4 linked regions of the Caenorhabditis elegans genome follow. The protein of the gene in region 2 interacts with the protein of the main gene of each other region in a pairwise test. Each region holds a gene or a part of one and is shown on either strand. Other genes may lie near its edges. The genes, in order: Y56A3A.7, ifb-2, C50F4.1 and C54E10.6.

The links.
Region 1: the proteins of ifb-2 (region 2) and Y56A3A.7 interact in a two-hybrid assay, tested with the Caenorhabditis elegans proteins (one large-scale study listed by BioGRID).
Region 3: the proteins of ifb-2 (region 2) and C50F4.1 interact in a two-hybrid assay, tested with the Caenorhabditis elegans proteins (one large-scale study listed by BioGRID).
Region 4: the proteins of ifb-2 (region 2) and C54E10.6 interact in a two-hybrid assay, tested with the Caenorhabditis elegans proteins (one large-scale study listed by BioGRID).

Annotation. Positions count from the first base shown.
Region 1 is NC_003281.10:11,943,316-11,949,621, forward strand, and holds the start of Y56A3A.7 (Homeobox protein cut-like), read right to left. Parts: upstream 3,705-6,306; 5' UTR 3,695-3,704; coding exon 3,653-3,694; intron 3,597-3,652; coding exon 3,486-3,596; intron 3,442-3,485; coding exon 3,349-3,441; intron 3,102-3,348; coding exon 2,823-3,101; intron 2,749-2,822; coding exon 2,652-2,748; intron 1,790-2,651; coding exon 1,534-1,789; intron 1-1,533.
Region 2 is NC_003280.10:5,748,052-5,755,767, forward strand, and holds ifb-2 (Intermediate filament protein ifb-2), read left to right. Parts: upstream 1-2,148; coding exon 2,149-2,212; intron 2,213-3,190; coding exon 3,191-3,384; intron 3,385-3,670; coding exon 3,671-3,792; intron 3,793-3,837; coding exon 3,838-4,197; intron 4,198-4,250; coding exon 4,251-4,670; intron 4,671-4,765; coding exon 4,766-4,816; intron 4,817-4,904; coding exon 4,905-4,982; intron 4,983-5,031; coding exon 5,032-5,055; intron 5,056-5,403; coding exon 5,404-5,551; intron 5,552-5,604; coding exon 5,605-5,712; intron 5,713-5,762; coding exon 5,763-5,927; downstream 5,928-7,716. Other genes in the region: F10C1.8 (LTD domain-containing protein), read left to right, coding at 6,429-6,472. UniProt on the Caenorhabditis elegans protein: Cytoplasmic intermediate filaments provide mechanical strength to cells. Not essential protein.
Region 3 is NC_003283.11:9,524,265-9,530,680, forward strand, and holds C50F4.1 (CHK kinase-like domain-containing protein), read left to right. Parts: upstream 1-2,528; 5' UTR 2,529-2,580; coding exon 2,581-2,682; intron 2,683-3,545; coding exon 3,546-4,166; intron 4,167-4,255; coding exon 4,256-4,345; intron 4,346-4,414; coding exon 4,415-4,524; intron 4,525-4,705; coding exon 4,706-4,871; 3' UTR 4,872-4,986; downstream 4,987-6,416. Other genes in the region: C50F4.10 (non-specific serine/threonine protein kinase), read right to left, coding at 5,786-5,875, 5,932-6,261, 6,380-6,416.
Region 4 is NC_003283.11:18,806,784-18,811,448, reverse strand, and holds C54E10.6 (Protein MNN4-like), read left to right. Parts: upstream 1-2,719; 5' UTR 2,720-2,787; coding exon 2,788-2,968; intron 2,969-3,181; coding exon 3,182-3,339; 3' UTR 3,340-3,380; downstream 3,381-4,665. Other genes in the region: C54E10.3 (G-protein coupled receptors family 1 profile domain-containing protein), read right to left, coding at 156-444.

The sequences.
Region 1 (6,306 bases), on a different chromosome or scaffold from region 2:
ATTTTTTAGGCGCGGATTGAGGCGAGAGGCAGGCGTAGGTAGCATCAAGGTCAGGCAGGCAGCCAGGCAGGCAGGCGTTTAAACGCGCCTATACAGGCGCCAGGCGAAAGCACTAAGAGGGGATTTTAGAAAATTTTAAATTTTGCCAATTTTTTCGAAAAAATTCCAAAATTTTTGTAAAAAAAAAGGTTTTTTTTTAAATGAAAATTGGTCAAAATATAGGCTATTTTCGGTTTTTTTTTAAAGTTTGGAACTAAAAAAAACTAAAGATTTTTGTAATTTTGTCAACATTTTGGTATTTATTAGATTTTAAGTACAGTTTCAAAAAATGAATTATTTAGATTAAAAATAATTTCTGGATTTTTTTCAAAATTTTTGGTTTTTTTTGGATTTTTTCAGAATTTTATGAAATTTTTTGGGGATTAAAAACAATTTCTGGATTTTTTTTTTCAAAAATTTTGATTTTTTTTGGAGTTCTTTCAGAATTTTTGGTATTTTTTTGGAATTTACTTTCAAAATTTAGGGGTTTTTTCGAAATTTTTGGATTAAAAAAATACAATTTTAGAATAACAGGATTTTTTTCAGAATTTTTTGAACTAAAAAACAACGATTTTCAAAAGTTTAAAACAAAATTTTTAGGATTTTTTTTTTCAAAAATTTTTGGATTAAAAATACAATTTCTGGATTTTTTTTTAAAGGATTTTTTCAGAACTTTTAGGAATTTTTTTAAAATGAAATTAAGGAATTTTTCTTTGATTTTTTTTGGATTAAAAAACAATTTTTGGAACTTTTTTTTTTAATTTTTGGTTTTTTTTTCAATTTTTTGGACCAAAAAACAACGATTATCAAATTTTTCAAACAAAATTTTTAAAATTTTTTGTCAAAAATTTTTGGATTAAAATTGCAATTTTGGAGTTTTTTGTGGATTTCTTTCATAATTTTTTGAATTTAAAAATTAATTTTTGGAACTTTTGGAATTTTTTTTGATTAAAAAAGAGTTTTGGATTTTTTTCAAAATTTTTGGGATTTTTTATGGATTTTTTATGAAATTTTTTGGATTAAAACGTTCTGGATTTTTTTCAAAAATTTTGGTTTTGTTCGGGATTTTTTACGAATTTTTAGGAATTTTTAAAAGGAAATTAAGGAATTTTTCTTTTCTTTTTTTTGGTTAAAAAAAACAATTTTCGGAATTTTTCTCAAAATTTTTGGGGGTTTTTTAAAAACAAAATTTTCAGAATTTTTGGTTTTTTTTTGGATTTTTTAAAGAATTTTTTTGGAATTTTTTGGAATTGTTTTTGGATTTTTTTTGGATAAAAAACCCATTTTTGGAACTTTTTCAAAATGTTTGGGATTTTTAAAATATATTTTTTGGGATTTTTTTGGAAGAATGTACAACGATTTTTGTAATTTTCTTCCAAAATGAATGGTTTTTTTTTGGAATGTTTTCAAAAATTTTTGCACTAAAAACAACGATTTTTCTATTTTTCCTAGCTTTTTTCATTTTTAAGGTCTAAAATCAAAATTAATGCTAACTTCTCCATTTCTTTCTTAATATTCTCTCGAATTTCCTCTCTTCTCTTCTCCTTTTCCTCATCATTCAAATCAGGCTTCTCCTGAGTCTCCACAATCACTGGAACACGTTGATTATCATCTAAAAGAGCTTCTTCTGCTGCCGGATCGATTTCTCGATTCTCATCAGTTCCCAGTTGAAGTCCTAGTTGAAGACACTGCTTCTGGAGCTCTTTGAGCTCTTTTTCTTGCTTTGTAGTCGTTTTTTTGAGGGCCGCCACTGGAAAAATATATAATTTTTTATTGAAAATTGGAAATTTTTTCCTAAAAAAGAAAAAAAACGCAATTTTGAGAAAAAAATTTTTTTTTCGAAAATTCGGAATTTGTTTTAGAATTTTGTATGAGCCCATGTTCCTTTAAAACTCGTGTAGATTTACGCAGGCCGCGTGTACTCCACGTGGACAACTTTGAATTTTTTTTTTCAACATTTTGAGCAATTTTTCGAAAAATATAGTTTTTGGAAATTTTGAAAAATCAAAAAAAAGTTTTTAAAAAAATTTTAAGATTTTAAAAACTGTGTTATTTTCCGGAAAATCGAATTTTTCGGAATTTTTTTTTTGAAAAATCTGAAAATTTTTAACTTCTGAAAATCCTGTATAAATCACTGTCTCCTTAAAATTCGTGTAGATTTACGGAGGCCGCGTGTACTCCACGTGGACAAGTTTGAACTATTTTTTTTCAACATTTTGAGCAATTTTTCGAAAAATACAATTTTTTTGTTTGAAAAAAATTTGAAAAATCGAGAAAATATTTTTTTCAAAATTTTAAGATTTTAAAAATTGTGTTTTTATTTTGTTTTTAGCTAAAAAGTAAAAAAAATAGCCAAAATTTTAAATTTTTTCCGAAAAAATTTCTTTTATTGAAAAATCTGAAAACTTTCAACTTTTTAAAATCCTGTATAAATCACTGTCTCTTTAAAACTCGTGTAGATTTACGCAGGCTGCGTGTACTCCACGTGGACAAGTTTGACGTTTTTTTTTTTTCAGTTTTCTGCTAAAATGCTTGATTTTTCACCATTTTTCGCAGTTTTTTTTTTGCAAAAAAAATTCGTTTTTCGTAACCAATTTGGTGAAAATTATTACTTTTATTAATTCTCTCCATAACCTCGGCTCGAACTTTCGTCGCTACGTCATCCAAATCCTTTGCCTTTTTGGCGCGAACCTCCATCATAGCGCTCTTCTGAATTGGAATAATATTGATTTTTTGCTCAAAATTCTTTTTTTTTTTTTGCTCAAATTTCCACCAAAACAAACCTTCCTCTTCGTCAACTGAAGCCTCTCGACGAGCTTCTCGTTCAGCTCAGACGCCGCCACCGCGGCCTCGGAGACTTGTTTTAGCTCGAGCAGCGCTTCCTGAAGCTCAGCGATAACCTCACTGTTCGCCTGCTCTTCTGGAGTCTTTTCCGCATTTTCGTCTTCTTCCGTGGCGTCTTCCTCCTGTTTCTCCTTCTGTTCTTTCAGTTTTTGAGCGTCGTCCTCGATTTTTTTCTCGAAATCTTTGGCGATATCGAGGGTGGCTTGTTCGTGAATTCCCTGGAAAAATTTTTTTCATCAAAAACCCCGGAAAACTGGAAAAAAATTCACTTTTATTCATCAATTGTTTAAAAAATAATAAAATAAAGTTTGTCTGAGAGGACTACACTGCGCGGGGGACTAGAAACCCACCTAGTCCCCCACGCCGTGTACTCCTCCTGGACAATCGAACAAAATTATTTTTAATGGAAAATTGTGATTTTTCTCGATTTTTTAAACGAAAATTTGTCGAAAAAAGCAAACTCACGACAATAGTCTTCAAAATATCCATATACTGAGCTTCTTGTGCCGAAATCGAGTCAAACGCGGCCAAAAGTAGCTTCATATCTTCTTTTACAGACTGGAAAATTCAAATTTTCAGTTTAAAAATAAAATATTTCGCACCTCATTCTCCTGTGGCTTTCCGACTCCTAATTCGCGGAGAGCTTGCGCGATTTCAGCCTTTTTGCCACGAATATCCTCGATGGATTGCATGATTTTCTTGCGTCGGGATATCTGGAATTGAGGAAAAAAAAAGTATAATTTCAGCAAATTTCAGCTGTTTAGAATACCAAATTATCATCCATTACTTGTGGAAGTTCGACGGAGCTCATGATTGGATCTGGAAAAATTAAAAGTTAAAAATTAAAAATGAAAAATTGAAATTTGAAATTTTGCAGTTTAAAAAAATCCAAATATAGTCTGAAATTCAGAAAAACCAGAATAGAAGAACGAAAAAATCGGAAAAAAAAACTAGATTTTTCAATTTTGGCTAAATTCCCTCCAAAATGAGAACTGCGACCAATCAGCGATTCGCTCCGCCCATTTTTAAACCAATCAGATGAAGTAGGCGGAGTTTGAAGTTCTTATTTTGAAGTGATTTTAGCCAAAATTGGAAAAAATCGCGTGGGCTTAAACTTAGTTTCAGGCTTAGGCTTAGGCATACACTTAGACTTAGGCTTAAGCTTAGGCGTAGACTTAGATTTAGGCTTAGGCTTAGGCCTAGGCTAAGGATTAAGTTAAAGCTTAGGCGGGGGAAAATAAATTCTCGGAAATTCGAAAAACTCCGGAAAAATTGGAAATTCCGAAGTCGGGTCAAAAAAACTAATAAAAATGGCCGAAAAGGGACTAAAAAATACAAAATTAAAAAAAATAGTGTAAAAATATTTGACAGGAGCTCCAAGAATCAAAAATGTTCAGCAGCTCGCCAAAATTCGAAAAGTACACACACACACACACAAAACTAAGCACACTGAAATAGAATGTCAATAGAAGAGGCGAAACATACACACACACGGACACACTATACTTCCACAATTGATCGAACCGTAGGCGACGACTGTACGGACGGAAAACCTATGCCTCTCTTTCTCTCACCGCACTGTACAATCTCTCGGCCGAAATTAGTCAGGCAAAAAGTTGGCGGGGTGATTCATAGCGGAGGAAGGCAACGCCCTATTTGGGTTGGTGTGGAACGGGGGGAGGGGAAGGTCCTCCGAGAGGTAATAGATATGGATTGAATTGAATATTGAATTAGGGGTGTTGATTTTAACGAGAGCCACTGATACCGAGAGTGTAATTAGAAATAAAATTCTATTAAATTGCCTCAAAATTACAAAATGATCTCTAAATCTGAAAACTTGTGTCTGAAAATTATGTGCTAATGGGTTTATTCAAGTAATGTTGCAAAATGTATTAAAATACATGTATTTTATGTATTTATTACAATTGATACGGTATTTTTCTACACTTTTTAATTTTTCGACACTATTTCGGTAACCCCATAAATCCTGTTGATTTTGCATGCAGCGACACACTTTTTTATCAGTAGCATTTCATATATTTAATCCTTTTTTTTAAGTTAGGCTAGTCGTTAGCCAAAAATTGTCAAAAAAAAATCACACCGGTCGTGGTCGCTCAAATTTTAGCTCAAAAAGTGGCAACCTTAATACAAAAAAAAAAAAACTAATGTCACTGATTTTAGTTCAATTTTATCCTGAATTTCTTGAATAAAAATGAAAGAAACACGATGAAATGTTTTCTTTCATTAAGTTTCTGATTGAGAACAACAATTTTATAAAAATTGTTTAATTTGTCCGGCTAATCCGGCAAATTTGCCGCAAAAATTCTATAGTTCCCTAAAAGTTCGACGACATTTTCTAAACTACTACTAACTATAGTCTTAAACGCCACACTATCTATTAAAGGTCAGTGTTATTAGTTTTAATGATACGAAATTTATACTCATTTCGTTCTATAAGCAGAACTACACCTGATTATGAGGAATACAATGATAAGAAATTCAAATTTTTTTTGCGTTATACATAGGAAATAAATAGGCTTGTATATTTTTTTCAGCTTTGCACCAAAAAAAATTTAGAGTGACTGAATCATGTTTTAACTCCCGTTCTAATGAAAAATGTGAAGACCAGGCATTTAAGTTGTCGGGAACTTAGAAAAAATAAACGAATAAGCAGAATTTCCAACAAAAAAAAACGATCAGGAATTTAAAATTATTTTTGGTTTTGGCCGGAGATTCCGGAAACGAGGTTCGCACGTGTCTCATTTCGGCTTGATCTACATAAAGCTAAAAAAAATGCGGGAGTTGTGAGGCAGAGTTCTCAACTGATTTCGCATGGTTAAGAACGTGTTGACGTCACATTTTTTGGGCGAAAAATTCCCGCATTTTTTGTAGATCAAACCGTGATGGGACAGCCTGGCAACACACACGGGGTGTCAGAAAGTCTCATTGCGGTTTGATCTACAAAAAATGCGGGAACTTTTTCCCAGAAAATTTGTGACGTAAGCACACTGTTAACCATGCGAAATCAGTTGAGATGTCTACGTCTCACCTCCCACATTTTTCGTAGATCAAAGCGAAAAGGGGCCGTCTGACTCCACGTGAACACATGGGTTCAAAAAATTCCACAATCTCAGAGGTGTTGAAAGAAGCGCAAATGAGCAACTCCAATTCACTCTTCCCATTCTATTATTTACACTCTTCCCCCGCCCGCTCATTTGACTGTCCTCCTCCAGAAGAAGATAACAACTCCTTTCTTCCCAAATTCCTTCTCCAGTTGTACAATTTAACGACCAGGTACCGATAGTGTTTGTGCACTGGCTTATACGCATTTCGTCACAGAAAAGCTTGAAAACTTGTTTTTTTCCAAAAAAAAATTGGAAAACAAAAATACGTAATTTATGGGGAACAACACAAAATTTTGTT
Region 2 (7,716 bases):
TCTATTTTTATTTTAAATTTGAACATGATCTACAATTTTGAAAGTTACACCAACATACATCAGAGTACTTCTGTTATCATTTTTGGAGAAACGAGTTGTACGAGGTTGAATGATTTACCTATACTTTTCAAAACTGTTTAAGATTTTTGAAAGTTCCGTTTGAAATGTCAAAAAGCTTCCATAGGGAAATCGTGTTATCCATTATAGTTGCCTAACTAGCTCCAAAAATGTTGCAAGACTCTGATTCAACGCACACTTGGCCAGAATCATTACTGTAACGTTTATTCAGCCCTTCATCACTATAGAATGTTAGTTCTCTCCTAATATGTTTTCAGATTAAACGAACTCTGAGTCATTTACTCCCCCTAGGAAGGTTCCATAAGTTATATGCTTCCTTCCCTCATCATCTGTCATTTTTAATGACTCAATGCCATTTCTCCCTCATTTAGACCACATTCCATTCCACTCAAAAACACAAAAATGTCTTCGTTTTTGCGTCCGCGTTTTATCGGTTAAAAACGATAAGGAAACTTGAGCTCTACTAGGAATTGGAGTACGCTGTTTTATCAGTTCCAACCAAGCCTGCCACACATCTGTAAACAAATGTTAGAGAATATGCGAAATGAAGAACACGATAAATGAAGTTTGAATGAAAGTACAAAGACTAGTCGTGAGGACTGAGCAAGATGTATGGAGTTGTAGAGAATACCAAAAGCAAAATTCTTTAAACATCCTGTTTTTTGGTATTCATACTTTGGCTAATTTTATAAAGTAATTGACCACAAAAATGAGAAAGAAGCATAAACGGAAGAATTGTATTAAAAAAACAAAACACTGTATTTCCAAAAATTTCAAAATTCCAATTCATGCTGATTAGCAGCTCGCGGACTTTAATATTTGAAAAAGAAGAGGTGTGGTTGATTTTTAGTTTTTTAAAGGTTAAATAATTAAAGCGATGTTTCGAATTATTTTGGAATTCCAATCATAGTTTCAATTCGATGCTTTTTCAATTTCGAAAATGCACAATTTTTAAGAACTTTTTAGCAAGGGTTTTATGACTCACAAAACTCTTTAATCAGAATAAAATGTTAACCAGAACACTTGAAAAGTTACGCTCCGCCGGTAGGTAGGTCTTCCTACCTACCTAGTTATATTCGTCTGCAATTTGGCACAAAATCTAGAGGTACAAGACAGCGCGTAGGTAACCTTCGAGTTTTTTGTGCCTACAAGGGAATTCGTTCACTGTTGCAAGATTCACCTATTTTGTTGTTATCAAATTATTGCGATGAACTTTTAAGGAATTACTGTAGCTGTTTTTTTGTGAAAAATAACACAGATGGTCTTTTTAAGATAAGACACCTCAAGTTCAGTAGACAACAAGAGTAAACAAAGTTTTTTCAGGAAATACTTGTAGCTTTTGAATTACAGTTTAAGAGAGAATTGAATTGATGAAGAGATTTTGATTGAACCTTCACATCTTCAAAATTCTAGAATTTTTAAAATTAAACATTTTTGAATATGACAATACAAGCGAAAATATTCTGTCAATTAAATCCAGATAAATTTGTAAATCCTTAAAAATTAAATTGAAAGGAATCTAGAAGACAAAATGTTTCAGTTCTGAAATATTCCATTGTTGCCGATTATGTTCTGTTGTAACCTTATTAACATTTCATTCGTCATAGTTTCTAGTAAAAAGTTTCAGACTTTGCGGTTCTTAACACCTTTTTTCAAATGTCAACTTCCTCATCATTCCCAGTCAAATGTCATTTTGTTTCATAAATACAAAGAATGTAAGAAAGAGTAGTTTCTTTTTTTCTTCTTTTCACCCCCTCCCCTCCGTTTTCCATCTCTAAACTCGGACTGATAAGTCACCATAAAAGAGAGTGGAATCGAGCATTGCCAACTGATAACCCTCTTTCTTTGCTCTCTCAAAATGCCATTGTAAAATCAAACCTACTACTCCGCGTTTTGTACGGTTTGGTGTTAAGACTCTTTATTTTTTTGAAGATTGAACGTTTATTATTGGTGTTGGTTTTTTAACTGCTGAAAGTGTGAAAATAACATTGTTTTCTTATTCTATTTATTTTTATCTTCTTTTGTTATTAACATCTTTTGTTTTATTTTCAAAATTTTAGCGACTTCATCATGTCGGCGGTTAGTTATTCGATGCACAGAACCACCACAACTACATCCTCCTCATCACACGGAGGTAAGCACTTTTCTTCAAATTTCCAACAGTCACACGACCTCGAGAGTTTTCTCCGAGGAATCCATAATATGGTGACACTAGTTTGTCTGAAATTGATCTCCTCCATTGTCTCAATCTTTTTCTTTGTTTCAAATCTCTTTGTCGGCTTTATTGACACCGTTGTGAACTCCTTTCACACATTGCCGACTAATCCTAGCAGTTTCTCTAGATTATGGGCTTAAGTTAAAATAACTGATGTTTAAATAAAACCATAAGTTTCGACAAATTAAACTCGATCTTAACTTTTAATTCACGATATCAATAAAGAATTGAGACGAGAACTGCAGCGTAGGGACAAACTGCAAAATGGCCTGTTCCTAGATGGTAGCATATAATACTTTTCAGTGAAAAATCAGATTGTTTATGACAAGATAGATCACTCTTATAAGTAGGAATTTTCTGATTGCTAGCCCAAATTGTGAAAAAAAAAGAATAAATATGCCACATTTAACCAATTTACTCTGCTCCTGCTTTGCATTACTTTGACAAATCATATCTCGATTGTTATTATTTCATCAAATAATTTTCAACACTAAAATCACTCTACATTGTTATAATTAAACAATTTTGATGAAGCCTACAACAATTAATATGAGCTGTCAAAATGAAGCAGTGGGAGTGCAAGACTAATAGGAAAAACGGTATATAACACGGAAAATTGTATATCTTAAATCTCAAAGTACAACATTAGCTGTAACTAACTCTATTTTTTAAAATTTCTATTTTAATATTGTGAAAAAATTTGGAAAACAGAGGTTTATTCAGACTTTTGTTTTACATATTCGTACTAAATTAATTTTTAAAAAATGAGTTTGTATTGCTTTTTCCAAACCCTTCACAATAAGACACTTTCACAAAATTTAGTTTATAACAATAAAAAATATGGTCCTTCTTGGAGCACTGCTTAAACATCGGAACACAGTTTACATAATATTTCAGGTGTCTCAGCCGGCCATGCCGCTGAGGAGTTCGTTGCCTCTGCCGAGCGCGAGAAGCAAGAGATGCAGCAGTTGAACTCTCGCCTTGAAGTTTACATCAGCCGTGTCCGTCAACTTGAGGATCGTAACAAGGAGCTTGTGATTGAATTGGACACCCTCCGAGGATCACTTGGAAATGACATCGGACAGATCAAGGTTTGTGCCCCGAAATTACAGGAGAATCTGAAACACTTTTAGTTGTTGACACAATTTCTCTCTTATCAGATAATATCAATTCTTCTCAAACAAAGCGCCCGTTGCCAAATGTGCAGGCGTAAGGAATTTAAAAGAGAAACTGAAAATGGCACTGATAAGATGACAAGTAGTGCTCTGGAGGAAATGGGTGTGTATGTGTGTGTTAAGATTGCCAATAAAATTAATTGAAATTGATCTTGAGGGGTTAATAATGTTGCATCAGAATAATAAACTCAACGTTTTGTAGTTCAAATTCAACGATTCGTTGGTCAAAGTTCGCCGTGAGATCTCAGAAGCTCATTCTGGAACTATTGGAGTTGAAGTTAAGGTCGACAGATTGAGAGATGATTTGAATGACTACAGACACAGGTAACAATTTATTTGCATATTCCATTCTAATGGCAAATATTTCAGATATGAAGAGGCCCGTCGTGAAGTTGAGCGTGAGAAGACCACTTGGGGAGGAGCTATTTCACAAGCACAAGCTGAGCTTGACACAAACAAGTCCCGCTATGCCGCCATTTTGGACGAGGAAAAGAGACTTTATGCTGAACAAGATCAACTCTATCTTCAATTGGCTGCCGCCAAGGATGAGCTTGACGCCGCAATTGTTGATCGCCGCCGCCTTCAAGCTGAGGAAGATGACCTCAAGATTGAGCTGGAATTCTTGGGAAGAATCCACTCTCAAGAAATCACTGAGCTTCGCACTCTTCTTGCTCAAGCTCCAGCCGACACAAGAGAGTTCTTCAAGAATGAATTGGCTCTTGCTATCAGGTTGGATTCAAAAAAAATGATATAGTTTTATTGTCTAATTTAAATTATTTCAGAGAAATCAAGGCTGAATACGACAAGATCATCCAAACCACCAGAGTTGATCTTGAGACAATCTTCCAGAGCAAGATTAGCGCCGTCGAATCATCAATCGTCTCCAAGAACGAGGCTGCCGTTTTCCGTCAAGAGGAGATCAGAAAGATGAACGAGAGCATCACCACATTGCGAGCCAAGCTCAGCGAGCTCGAAGCCCGTAACTCTGCTTTGGAGAGAGAAGCCAACACACTCCAGATTCAACTCGGAGAAGATCAAAGAGCTTACGAATCAGAGCTTCACAAGAGAGACAATGCCCTCCGATTTATGCGTGAAGACTGCCAGACTTTGATTGCTGAACTTCAAGCTCTTCTTAACACCAAACAAACTTTGGATACTGAGATTGCCATCTACAGAAAGCTTGTCGAGTCCGAGGAAGGAAGGTAATATAAGTAACAAAAATATCTCTCAAAAAGAGCAACATATACTTTAATTGATTGTCTCATTCTTCCATTTTATCATTTCCTTACTTTCACAGATTCACTCATGTTGGACAGGGGGTCGTTGTCGCCCAGCAGGAGACTACAAGGTTCGGTAGCTATAACCGCTTCATAGACATTAACATACTGCACACGTAGATATTTAGAATCTAGTTTTATTTCCTAGTTGACTTCCAGAACAGAAGGGGATTCCACTCCCGTTGTTTTAAATGATCAGCAATACTCTGACAGTCATCAATATCAGCAATATCCTGAGTAGGAATCTTTAATAGAATCAAGATATATTATATGTAATACCTTTCAGAGTGTATCCGCAAGGAACTTTAAGGTATCCTAGATTGTAGATTAGTTATTCATAGTATAGTTTTCATAGATCATCTCAACATCAAATTGGCAGAGGTACCAATGTACTAGTTTCAGATCAAAGGTTACTCGTAGTGATACAGTAGTTTATAGCTAATTGCTTTCACAATTCATGCTCTTTCACTTGCACTTTTTCTCTTTTTCACGCACTTCCTTATCTCAACACACTGCTTACTTTTCACATCACCTATTTATCATTTTCTTGGCTAACAATTTTTGTTAGTCAGCAAATCTCAAGGCTTTTAGCTGAAAACATGCACTTTCAGCTTAATCTATCCCCGTTAATTTTAAATTGTTATATTAAATTCTACAGATTGGTACCAGTCGAGCAAGATCACTGGGACTCTGGAGAGGTTCAAACTCGTTCCTCATTCAAGAGACACGCTAAGGGAAATGTGAGCATCGTTGAGTGCGATCCACAAGGAAAGTACATCATTCTTGAAAACACCAGTGGATCAGTTGTGAGTTTAGATCTTTATTTTTATTTTGAACATGAAAAATTGGAAAATTGCAGGCCGAAGATGTAAGCAACTTTGAAATCCGTCGTGTTATTGATGGAGTTCAAGCCTTCGTTTTCCGTCTCCCATCTCACTTAGTTATTCAACAACACGGACATCTTAAGGTATTAATTATTATAAAATTAGATATCATATTGAAACCGGAATATTACAGATCTACGGACGCAATTCAGGAGGAATTAACTCACCACCAGACTCAATTGTGATGGAATCTCACCCATCATGGGGACAAGGAGGACAAGTTGAAACATTCTTGTACAATAGTCACGGAATTGAGAAGGCTTCGCACATCCAGACGACGGTCGCTTCTTCCCGTTAAGAAATCTCCATCATCTAATCGATTTCTTTTTCGATGAATTTAAATTTATTCTGAAATGCCCATTGAATCCTTTCCTTGCTGTCTTCACTCCCAAAATCATTCGACGTACATACTTGCTACATTCCAATCCAATTGTTTTTTGAAATAAATTGTTCAATATTGTTTTAGTTCAAAATCATTGATGATTAAAAGAAGTGTACTTATCACGATACTTCCCAAAAAAAATTTCTTGGTCAAAAGTGGGTCACGATAACTCGGTCTAAAACCATTTCTAAAAAAAATTTTTTTCGCTTTTTTTTTCGACAATTGTTTTAAGCCATTTAGTTATGGTTTTCGAAGGTTTTTTATAATAGTAATAATAATTAAAATTAGGAGTGGTTTTGAACCGAGTTGTCGTGACTCGCTCTTGACTGAGACTACATTAAAATACATTCTACAGAATTTTTGGAAATGATTGAACACGTTGCAAGCTGTACATATATTTTTCAGCACTAAGGGAAAATGCAATCCAGAACTATAATACCAAATTCGAACGGCAGAACCAGGTGGATGCGCTTTTGTATGAAATAATGAAACTTTTCTACCAGTTAAACGTTCTTAATATTAGGTTGGACCGGAAGTCTTTATAACTGGGTTTGCATTGTAAGCAACACCTCATTCCCTTCCCTCTGGGCTGAAGTTAGTTAACCAACGATGTATGTCCCTAGTGCGATCCACATCCGATATGGTTTGATGTACCTCTTTCTCTCTCATACCACGATGAAGGATTCGGAAAGTCTCCTCAAGAATGTTTATGATTCACATGTCCTCTACAATAATATCAAACGCAATTGGTTCCAAAGCTTCGAGAAGGACGAATTTTCTCTCGAAGACTCTGAGACCCCATAAATTGGATTTGGACACGTTGCAGAAAGCCGTGGCAACGGATCCTTTCCAAACCACCCGTGAGCTGTCAACCACACTTGAGCCCCGTCAAACCAACATTGTACGAGGCTGGGAACCTCTTGGAATAAAGAAACGTATGGGTCGATTCATACCTCACATTTTGACACAAGCGAACCTTTATTTTTTAGTGGGTGATTCCTTTTCCCTCCTCATTTTCCACGGGGCCGATCAATGGTTGGGCCGGCTCATTACTGGTAACGAGAAGTGGGTCCTCTACGTTAACAACCACAAGCGTGCTCAGTGGATTGGAGAAGGAGAGACACCACAGGATGCCGCCAAACCCGACCTTCACCCCAAAAAAGGCATGCTCTCAGTGAGGTGGGGAGTGTACGGCCCCATCTACTGGGAACTGCTACCTGAGGGTAAAATAATTTGTGGGGACATCTACGTTATCTAACCATGAAACCTGAAGAAAGTCATCGATCGTTAACCCTTGAAGTACAAGCAACTCTATTTTCAGCAAAACAATGCTAGTCCCCATCTCTCGAAACAAGTATAGTAGGAACAGACCAGCCATGGTTGAATGGTACTCCTTCACGCACCGTATTCTCCAGACCTCACTCCATCTGAATACTAGTCGTTTTCAAATATGACCCGTGTCCACGAGCAGAGAATCTTCAACACCCATAAAAGTACCAATGTGGCACTCAAGCATTATTTCGACTCGCGCCCGGAAGGGTTCTGTTAGCAGGGCATTAATAAGTTGCCCACATGTAGACAGTATATTGTTGATAATGATAGCAAATAAAATTTATCCTGTCGTTTCTCTTGCTTCGAGAAATAAAAGATTGAAAAAGTAATAAAGACTTCCGGACCAACCTAATACATGTAACATCTTAATTTA
Region 3 (6,416 bases), on a different chromosome or scaffold from region 2:
TGGCTGAAGGTGCAAAAATGTAAGGTCATAATTCAATGTCAATAAGGAACTGAGGGGAGCTGACATTTCTTAAAAAGAACAAAAAGGAAATTAATCTTTGTTGGTGATTCTTGAGAAGAATATCCAAATATCTCCACCCACGCTGAGATATAAGGATATATGTACGGAGACAAAGATTAAAAAACTTTTAAGACTTCGAGAGTAATGGGCGGAACATAGAGGAACGTATAAAAACTAAAACTATAGTTGAACGTATACTGAAGATGAACACATTTTCGATTAAAGTACAATTATACGTAGTCTTTATTTTAGTTTATATAGAACTTATGTAGTATCTGTACTTCAAAAAAATGTTGGTTTAGTATATTTTTAGTTATAACCTAAGATTTATTTATTTGTTCGGATAATACATCAGTTCAATTACAACCAATATAATTGAAAAAAGAATTATTGATTGTTTTGTAACTACCAAATGATAATTATTCTAAAAACAGGATAGTAATTTTGTAGTAATTTTTCAAATAGTAATTTTGATAAAGAAATAATTAGACTGCAATAATTTTATCAAATAAAACATTAACTGTATTCTGCTGCTCACGGTTTTTGCAACAGGAAACAATGCTTAGAGGAGCAAGGAATTTGAAGAATGACCAATTGATGCCTTCTCAAAGAATATAAGCTGTTTAGGTTTAAACACCCAAAGTATTCAAAGAGAGTGTCATGCAAATTTGTAAAGGTGAAAGCATTTCAAACGTCATGATGTTACCAAACAAGGAGGTGGTTGTTCGTGATGCACAAAAATTGTTTTGACTTGTTGAGTGGGAGGAGAAGGAAATGGGTTGACGTATTGAGTCAGTTGAGTGTCATGAAGCATTTTTAAAATGCTAGAAAGGGAGTGGCTAAAATCAAACAATCGGATGGGTCAAATGATGCGTGACTTTTTGATTAACAGGCTGGAAATTCTACCGAGTTAAGCACTTTTTCATGATAAGTCTGAAATCATTCACATTTCAAAGTCGCACTTCTTAAAGTTCCTAAAAATACTAGATATATTTTTAGATGGCAACTTTTTTTCTGAAATATTCAGAATAAAAAATATTCAATGCGGCATCAAAAATAGTTTTAAAGGAAGATTACTTAGTATCAATTTATGAGTGATTTAATACTATAAAACAAACAGAAACTCTTATTTACCACTTACAAAAGGGAAGAGATTATGAACTGATATTGATAAAACAAGAGTTGCCTCGATTTGGAAAAAAACAACTTTTTTTCAGTTTCTTAACAAAACAATACGAAAAAGAAATTCAGATGAAGTTTTTGTTCATAAGATTTTTTTTTAAGACAGCGTTATATCGAATCAATATTTTTGGTTTTCTAAAAAAAATAATTTTAATTGGATCGAAAGTTAAATTATTGTTTTGTATTTTTATTGTTCTGCACAACGCAACAAAAAGAGAAACAACATTTAATGGAAAATAAAATGCATCAAAAAGTAATGCTCTCAATTATGGCTCATTTTGAAGGCGTTCGTCAACTCAACCGGAGCAAGGATGAAATGGGCTATTGAAAGAACATTAAAGTACGCACGAAAACAAAACGTTAATTCGAAAATAGGTATTTATGAAAATGATTTTTTTCAATTCTATACGGATGAAAACAATAATTTAAATGTGTCCTGAGGTTATTGTTTTCAAATTTCCTTAAAATTAATTTTGGAATTATTTTTAGAGTTTAGGAAATCACATGTAAAATGGAAAGGCCTCAATTCTGAACTTTTGAACTTTTTTGCGCGGGGTAAAAAATTAGCGCGGATTTACCCAACGAAAAATTTCAAGGATTTTCCAAATTATAAGCTTACAAACCGTTACACAAACAACATTACGATTCAAAATAATTATTCCAGTATAAATTGAATATAAACCTAGCTCAAAATTCGCCAAATTATTACTGATTTGATAATAATATTAGCCAGTAAGATTGAAACCAGAAACAAATATGAAAGAAGATTTCAAACTCGATTACATGAAGCAAGCCTAGAGAGAAAATATCGCAATTTTTCTGAAAACTTAATGTGATACATGTAGTGCCAACTTGGCAGATGTCCTATATGTCTTCGAACGTGAACTTTAAATTTTAAATTCGTCTTCATTTCAGCCACCCACTAGTTTGATATCCGATATCCTACGTCCAGAATTGTGCCGCCCACTTCATAATTTTCGGATAAATATCAGTTTCAAATGGTTACCACATTAGCAAAGTACCTACCACCTATGATCTTCGTTCAAAATTTCAGCTCGTGACTCACTCCCTCTTCTTTTTCATTGCTATAAAATGTGTTTGCAAATGTTATTTGCTCTACGAAACACAAAATATGCAAGTATTGTCGTCGCCCATCATCAAAGTCATAAACGGGACAGTGTCATTAGTTTCGATTCTCTTCGCTTTTTTCTCCCGCATTTTTTATCACTGATAACAAGACCTCGTCCACCTGCTCCCTCTCCTCCCTTTTTTCTTTGCATTTTCAGAAGAAGGACATATCAGTGTTGGCATTGTTGGTTGATTCACAGAGAAGTTATTATGTTCATCACTGCATTAATTGCAAAGGAACTTGGATTGTCTCGAGTTAAAGAACTTAATCCTACTGTCACTATCAATGGTGTCACAACCGTGGAGTTAGAGGTAACTTTATAAATTAGTTCATAGTTGAAAACTCATATATTAAACCAATAGGAACTATTTGAGGGCATTGCAAAAATCTCAAAAACTTTTAACTCAAAATTTAAATGTACTACAGATATCAAGTACTATAAAATTATTGTAACTCCTATTACTGTTAGTTTTTTTAATGGCTCAAATTTTAAAAGGATTTTGCAAATTTTTTAAATATTGCAAATATGATGCCAAAATCGTATACGTTACATTGTCGACTCTCTTAATCTGACTATTATTTTCAACGATTAGAAAAAACCGTCAACGCTAGATTAAGATATTTTTAGACAATTTTTAATGTTTAATTTCAAAAATTTTCGAAAATGTTGCTTGTGAAATTATCTTTGAACTTCACTTTTAAAGGTGCTAGTACGAATTACTTTCCAATGTTTTGTCTTCGTACAAAGCTTTCATGTTTTTTAATTCCATATTACCTCTTTAAAATTAATACTTCATGTTTGTGTTTTTGGATGGAGTGTATTATATTGGGAGTTAAATGAGCACAAAGATTATTCCGGTTATAAGGAAATTTCGTTCAAGTCGTTTCATTTTCTAATGACGTTTTTTGTGGAAATTTTTAACTGCCTGTTTTACTGATAAGAAAACGGAAATATTGTTAAATAAACAAGTTTTTCAAAATTGAACTCAATACGGTTGAAACAAAAAAAAATAATTAAAATATTGGAAGTATAGTATTAGGATTAGATTTAAACTTTCTACGAAATTGTTCCAAATTCGAAAGAAATGTGCCAAAATGTGATACTGAATGACCTTTGAATGAGGCCAATTTCTTTCTCCCGCCCTTCTAGAATATCATCGTTTTCTGGTTTTAGACAGCGGAGGGCCTCTTCCGAGTGCATTTGGTGAGAGATGATCAAGATGTTATAGTGAAACTAGAGGAAGGAAGCAAGCTTGCCGCCTACTACAATTCACTTTTCTGGCATGAGATATCAACGTTTGAGAAGATTCCTATTCCAAGTGCACATTTTAATCGATCGTTTGTTGTGACGGAAGATGAAAACAAACATTCTGTCTATGTTACTCAATTTTTGAAGAAAGGAAGTGTTCGTACCAAATTGGGATTACCAGAATTGGAACAAGTTGCCTCACAGATTGCAAAGTTACACGCTGTCAACTCAAAAACTATCAATAAACAATTCTCACTCAATGTGCAAGAAAATTATGGAAACATCATATCATTCAAAAAGAAAATTCAAAAAGAATTGATTGAAGTGTTGGAAACAGCAGTAACTACTACAGAAGTTGCAGACTACTTCATGAATCCATCCTCAGTTATTGAAAAAGTTGGAATTTTGACTCATTACTTGGAAGATTGGAAAGATGAAGATGCAGATGAAAAGGAAAAACATAATGTTATCGCACATGGAAGATTGACAGCTGAGATTTGCAGATTTGATGAGGATGGGAATTTGGTAGAGATCACAGAATGGGAAGTACGTAATTATTTTTAAAATAGAAAAAACTGCGTTCTACTATAATTTTTACTTTTGATCTTTCAACAACGAAAACCTAATTAATTTAGAACATTCATCTTGGAAATCCAGTGGAGGATTTAGCAAATTTGATTGTTTCATCTGCAGATGTCGACATTCGACGAAAAAAGTTCATGAAAGTGGGTTCGAGAGTCTTATGGGAACGGCAGAGCACCAGATGTTTTTGATGTAATTTGTTTTAATTTTAGATATTTCAAGTCTATTTTTATGCACTTGTTGACTATTACCCACCAAAGTATCAACTGCATGATTTGAAAAGATGGTTCCAGGAATATCAACCTACAGTTCTAATCAATGGGTGAGTTTAGGTTTCAAATTTTCAAATGTTTTAAAAGACCAAAAAGTTGTCGTACTTTTGATATTTTTTATAAAATAGTGTTTTACCGGATTTTCAAGAAAATAATTTTTCAAGGCATTTTAGGTTGCCCCAAATTTTCAGAACACTAGTCCCATTAAATAAAATTTCTAATCATTTCCAGAATCGAGTCTCTACTTTTTACACTGAGTGAAGGTTCGGATGACGTCAAACAAGATGCTGCACGTCGATGGGAGACAGCGTTGAATGATACTGTAGATTTCTTGACTGGAAACTACATTTCGGATAATGAGCACCCATTTCTCTCACAAAAAGAGAATGATGATTGAAGAATAAGATAACGTATTTGCTTTTTTTTTCAAAGAATCGAGAATAAATGACCGAATTCAAAAATAAAGATTGGTCGTTTTTTCTTGGTGACGAATGAATAAATCTTCAATACAAGAACGGAAAGATGCATCTCTTGACAACGTAGATATACGGACGACAAAATAATAAATGTATGACGTGTGAGAAAACACTTGAAGCTTGCTTAAAAAAGGGATTGGGTGTCTTCGAGAAAATCAGAACATTTCTTTCAAATTAAATTATGTAAGAAGATGTTCATATTACAATATATAAATAGCAATATACTATTTATAAATTATATTGTAAATAGATATTAATTACTTAATTTATTTATTTACGCTCGCGAAGAGACGTGGAAAAAGTTGAAGAAAAAAGAAAAATGTACACATAATAGATCATAAATACAATACACTGAATAAGAGGGATAGAAACAAGAAGAATAAATAGGAACGAAAGTTTGTTAACAGGACAGTTAGGTCAGGCGGGAGGAGATAATGTTATGTGGGTAGTTCATGAATCATCAGTTGTCAGACATCTCGTTATTCAAGATCTGATATATGTTTTAGAAACTTGGGGCTACTCAGCGTACGGTTTACAATAAAATGCTTATTGTAAATAATATTGTAAATAATTATATTGAAAATATGTTGAAAATAGAACAAAAAATGCAGCATCCGAAAGTTTCAGATGAAGAGTTTCAGCACTTGGTACATCTATAGCAGATTTTGAAGAGATGTTTGTATCCAAACATCTTTTGGCAGTTGATCAAGAAATTAATGATAGAAAAATATCACACCATAAATTCGCACATTTCTTTGAAAATAAAATCTTTTCAGAGTATTTGAATGTATAGTAATTGTCACAATCTTTATTCGAGAATATCGAGAGGATGTAGTTACACGTCTCCAAGTGAATTAGTTCCTCCCTGTTCCCAATCATAAGGATGTTCCGGTTGAGGACTTCTGCGCATTGCCCGACGGAGAATCTAAAATATTAGGATTTTACAGAAACAATGCTTAACAATTGTAAATAAAACCATACGTTGCAGATATTAACATAATCGGGAGCTGTGAAATAATTGTAGGAATCAATGAGAATCATCACTTCACGAAGTTCTTCCATCGGACAAGGTGCTCTCAAGAAAAGAGCGATTGCTGATGGGTGACGACTTTGTTGCTTGACTCGTGCAACTGCAGCACCATCTGGAAGACCTTTCCATGGAAGTTGTCCAGTGATCATTTCAACGATAACGTAGAAAGCTGATTCTAAATCATCTTTTCTATTCAGTTCTTGCAGTTGATGACAATTCAATGAAGCATATCGAACGGTTCCACGGAATTCAACATTGTCACGAGGTTTTCTCATTTGATTCTGAAAAAGTTATGATTCTTCAGAGTTCAAATGATTTTTGCTTTTCACTTGTCTCAAAAAGCCGAAAAATGGTGTTAATATTTCTTCTGTGAATACACTTGAGAAAAGTAATCTTTACTTTGGAGTCCAAGTAACGTCGTGAAATTCCAAAACTC
Region 4 (4,665 bases), on a different chromosome or scaffold from region 2:
TAAAAAACTACGTCGCTCCGAAATTCCGCTTGGTGGAAAATTAATTTTCCACCAAATTTAACCAAATTTTCTGGTTTTTTCCTAATTTTTGTTTAACTAGACACCGTTTTTACCTTATTTTCTTAGTTTTTCACTCAAAGAATCGCAAAACTCACCATAAATCACATCGCTATTCTCCACAATTACACTTGCCACCAAAGTACCCAAAAGTACAAAGTTCCCAGCTAAAATCGCACTGAAAAATGGCAGAAAATGCACATTTTTGCCAGTTTTGCCGTGAATATACAAAAAGCTTAGAAATATGATAAGTAGCGTGAAAAAACCAACGAAAAGTACCGAGTAGAAGAGGATTTGCGACGAGTTTTGCCATTCGTCGAGATAGGTTTGCTCATCGGTGAGCATTGATTGGTCAATGAAGGAGATCAGTGGGACTGAGATCGACATGCTGAAATTTTAATGTTTAGACTAAAAATTTGAGAAATTTGAGAAAAAACTATTCAAAAAACTGAATTTGTGGCTGTAAATCAAGATTTGTGATTAGAAAATTCGAATTCCTTGCCTAGAAAAACCTATATACCCTATCAGGGGGTCGAACCTGTGCCCTATTTCACCAAAGCCAAGCCACTTACCTACTGCGCCATATGGGAATCGCGTGGCAAAAAAGGCGCAGCGCGCGCCTAGCAGCATGGCGCAGTGGCTAAGAGGCTTACCTTTGGTAAAATAGGCCACAGGTTCGAATCCCATCGGGGGTACATATATTTTTTTAGGCGGAGAAATCGAATTGTTTACTTTTAAACTTAGAAAATCCACGTGGAAGGTGGAATTTTGAGTTAAAACTGTATACTTTTGACAGTTTCAACAATTTTTTTACAATATGCAAATCGAACTAAATGTTATGATCTCTGCAAAACCTTCATATTTGCAAATAATTTTTTTCAATGAATTTTTTTACTCAGCGTTTTTTACTTTCTCACTTAGAAAAAAATATATACCCTAGCAGGGGTTTGAACCTGTGACCTATTTCCCCAAAGGCAAGCCTGTTATCCACTGCGTCAACCCCTTCCTTCCTGGCTACTTCTCCGGAATTGCGCGCGCGCACGCATGGCTAAGTGAGTAAGAGGCTTGGCTATGGAAAAATAGGTCACTGGTTCGATTCTCAGGTAGGCTGTTTAGTTTTTTCTAGGTAAGAATTTGGAATTTTCATGGCTTGTGAGCTGAAAATTGGAGTTTTTAGCCATTATTTCTTCTTTTTTTCTAAAAAAAAGAATTTTTGAAGTCAATTTTAGTTTTCATATTTTAGAAAAATAGTCAAATGTACACCAATGCTTGAAAACTAGGAAAAAACTGAAAAATATCCGGAAGAGTGCTTGAAAGTGAAAAACAAAGGGATTAGTGGGAATTTTTAATTTTTTCGCAAAATTTTTCTCAATTTTCATAAACAGCTGTGCTAAAAATCTGGAAAATGCAGGAAATTGAATGTGCTCGGTGGGAAAAATTAGGAAACATGAATTATTCCTAAAAAGTAACAAATAATAAGCTAACACGCAATTATACACATTTTTTGCTGCTTTGGTGGCTTAAAAATGACGTAAATATAGCTTTTATTCAAACAAAAAAAATACATTTTTTCTAAAGATTGCGAAAAAAAAAAATTCTGGAAATTTTGAAAATTTCGAAAAAAATTTTTTTTGGAAAATTTGAAAATTCAATTTTTTTTTAATTTCAGGATTTTTGCTTAAAAACCCACAAAAATATGCTAACTCCAATTTTTATGCAATTTCCCTTCCTGAAAATCTAATTTTCCACTTAAAAACCACACAAAGAACACAAAGAAATCCAATTTTTTTTTTGGAAAAAAAAAAAAATTCTGAGATTTTCGCTCTTTTAGCCTATGCTGCATAATAATCCTAGAAAAATATCGGAAGCCTGACAAGAAGTTTCCAGAAAAACGTGACAATTTCAGCTTCCGGGGGGTTTCACACATTATTTTCTTTTCTCTGGCTATATTTTCGAGTTACATGGGAAAATGACAAATTTTTAACTAAAAGAAAGCAAAAAACAAATTTTTTTTTGAGAAAAGTGATGTGCAGCAAAAAATGCGGAAAATTTGGTTTTTTTTTAACTTTTAATTTTCCAAAAAACGAGGTTTTGCGTTGAGTTTGGCAATTTCAAATTCAAAAATTCGAATTTCTCACCTAGAAAAACCTGTATACCCCAACCGGGGTTCGAACCTGCGACCTATTTTTCCAGAGACGAGCCGCTTACCCACTGAGCCATGCTGGCAGGCGCGCGGTGCGCCACTTTTGCCACGCGGTTCCCATGTGGCGCAGTGGGTAGGTGGCTTGACTTCGGTGAAATAGGTCACAGGTTCGAGCCCCGAACTGGTTTACAGGTTTTTCTAGACGAGATTTTTGAATTTTTTAGTTTAAAACTCTGAAAATCGACACGAAATCGGGTTTGCTGATTTTTTTTTCGAACTTTTCATTTAAATTCCACCAATCTTTGGGTCTTCACAACCATAAATTTAATTTCCCGTAAATAAATTAGTTCTCCTTCCGAACCAAGCCACCAGCTGACACCAACGGCTGTGTTGCACTTCTCCCCGTCTCGCACCGTCTGCGTCTCCGCATGCTCTCTAACTCTCTCCCTCGGAGGCTGAATCCCAAGCCATCTGCTGTCCGCAGAGTGCTCATTCCTCACTTTTGTATTGATTTACTGAAAATTTGACGAGTTTTCGCCAGAATTTTGCTGGATTTTCACAAAACTTCCTGTATTTTCAGCCCAAAAATGTCTGAAATCTCCATAAAACGTGCACATGAAAACGAAAAAGATGCAGAGGAAGATATGGAGCCAGCAACTAAAAAAATTAAATCTGATGACGTCACAGAGGAGCAGGAGAAGCCTGAAATTGTGGAGAAAGCTGAAAAAGTGAAGAGCATGAAAAAGGAAGAAGCTGGCAGCCTGAAATGTGAGTTTTTGAGCAATTTTTGAAAAGAAATGGGTTAAAATAGACTGAAAATGGATGATTTTAAACTTTTTTCTAAAAATTAAAATTTTGAAAATTTTGATCAAAAAAAAAATTTTTTTTTGAAATTTCGAAAAAAAAAATGTTTGAAAAATTTACAATTTTTATTTTTTTTCCTATTCTTCATCAGAACATTTGAATCAAAAAAAATTCCAGCACCACCCAACGATGAAATGGAGTCAGAATTCACACATGTGCTCAATGAGCTCTCAAAACAGAAAGAGACTATCAAAAAACTGCTGGACGATTTGAGAGCGGACAATAAGAAAAGGAAGACACACAATATTAGAACGATTTTCCAGAGAAAAGATTGAAAATTTACTTTTTTTTTGACTATAAATATTTATTTTGCATATTTCAATTTTTTCAGTTTCAACAAAAACCGAACATTTTCAGAGCTTGCGACTATGAAATTCGAGTTTAGGAGAGTAGATATACCAAAGACAAATTTAAAAAAAAACACAGAAAAAAATTGTGCCACAGTGCGGACTCGAACCCCGGCCTTCAGATTGGTAGTCGTCGAAAATCCCACTGAGCCATTTGAGCATAATTTTTAAAAATCGCGGAACTACATTTTTTCAACAGTTTTTGAAATTTGAAAGACTTATCATTGAGTTTTCAAAGTTTTAGATACCTAAAGTTACTGGAATAAATAAAAATTCTCAAACTTTGATACTTGGAAATGAAATGTAAATGAAAATTGCTTCCGTGAGAATTCGGAGAAGTTAATGAAAAGCAACAACAACATATTACCTTAACATTTTTCCATCCAAAAAACCGAAAAATTAAACACCTTTTGTCAAAATTCAGTTCAAAAATAAGCTTTAAAAACTTTGAGATCTAAAAATTCAGATTTCTCGCCTAGAAAAACCTATTGTCACTCTCGTGGATCCGAACCCCCGACCATCTGCGCCAAAAACAAGCCTCTTACCCACTGCGCTGTAAGAGCACCGCGCGCGCAAGCTGCATGGCGCAGTGGGTAAACGGTTTGGCTATAGAGCAATAGGGGACAGGTTCGAACCCCCGGAAGGGTATATAGGTTTTTCTAGGCGTGAAAATTGAATTTTCAACTTTAAAATTGAAAAAAATCTACTTGAAGATCGAAATTCTCGAGTTTACCAGGGTTTGGCCTAATTTTTATGGTTTTTATTTGAAATTATTTGTAGAAGCCTGAGTGTTTTGAGAAAAACACATAAATTCCAAAAATAACTTGCAAAATAATTTCGTGGATTTTATGAATTTCACTGTTCCATTAAGTTTTAGGCAATTTAAAACCCAAAAATTCAAATTTTTCGCCTAGAAAAACCTGTAGCCACTCTCTGGGACTCGAACCCGCGGCCTTCTGCGCCAAAAGCAAGCCTCTTACCCACTGCGCCATAAGTGTACCGCGCGCGCCTGCTGCATGGCGCAGTGGATAAGAGGCTTGCTTTTGGCGCAAAAGGTCAGGGCTCGACCCCGAGAAGGGTATATAGGTTTTTATAGGCGGTGAATTCAAATTTTTTTGTTTAAAACTACCATTTTGAATGGAAAAGTGACTTTTTTCCAAAAAAAAAAAACTAAAATTTTTATATTTTCCAAGTTTTAAGTATTGAGTATAGGTTTTTCTCTGTGAGAGGTTCAAAATTCAAACTTACAATTTT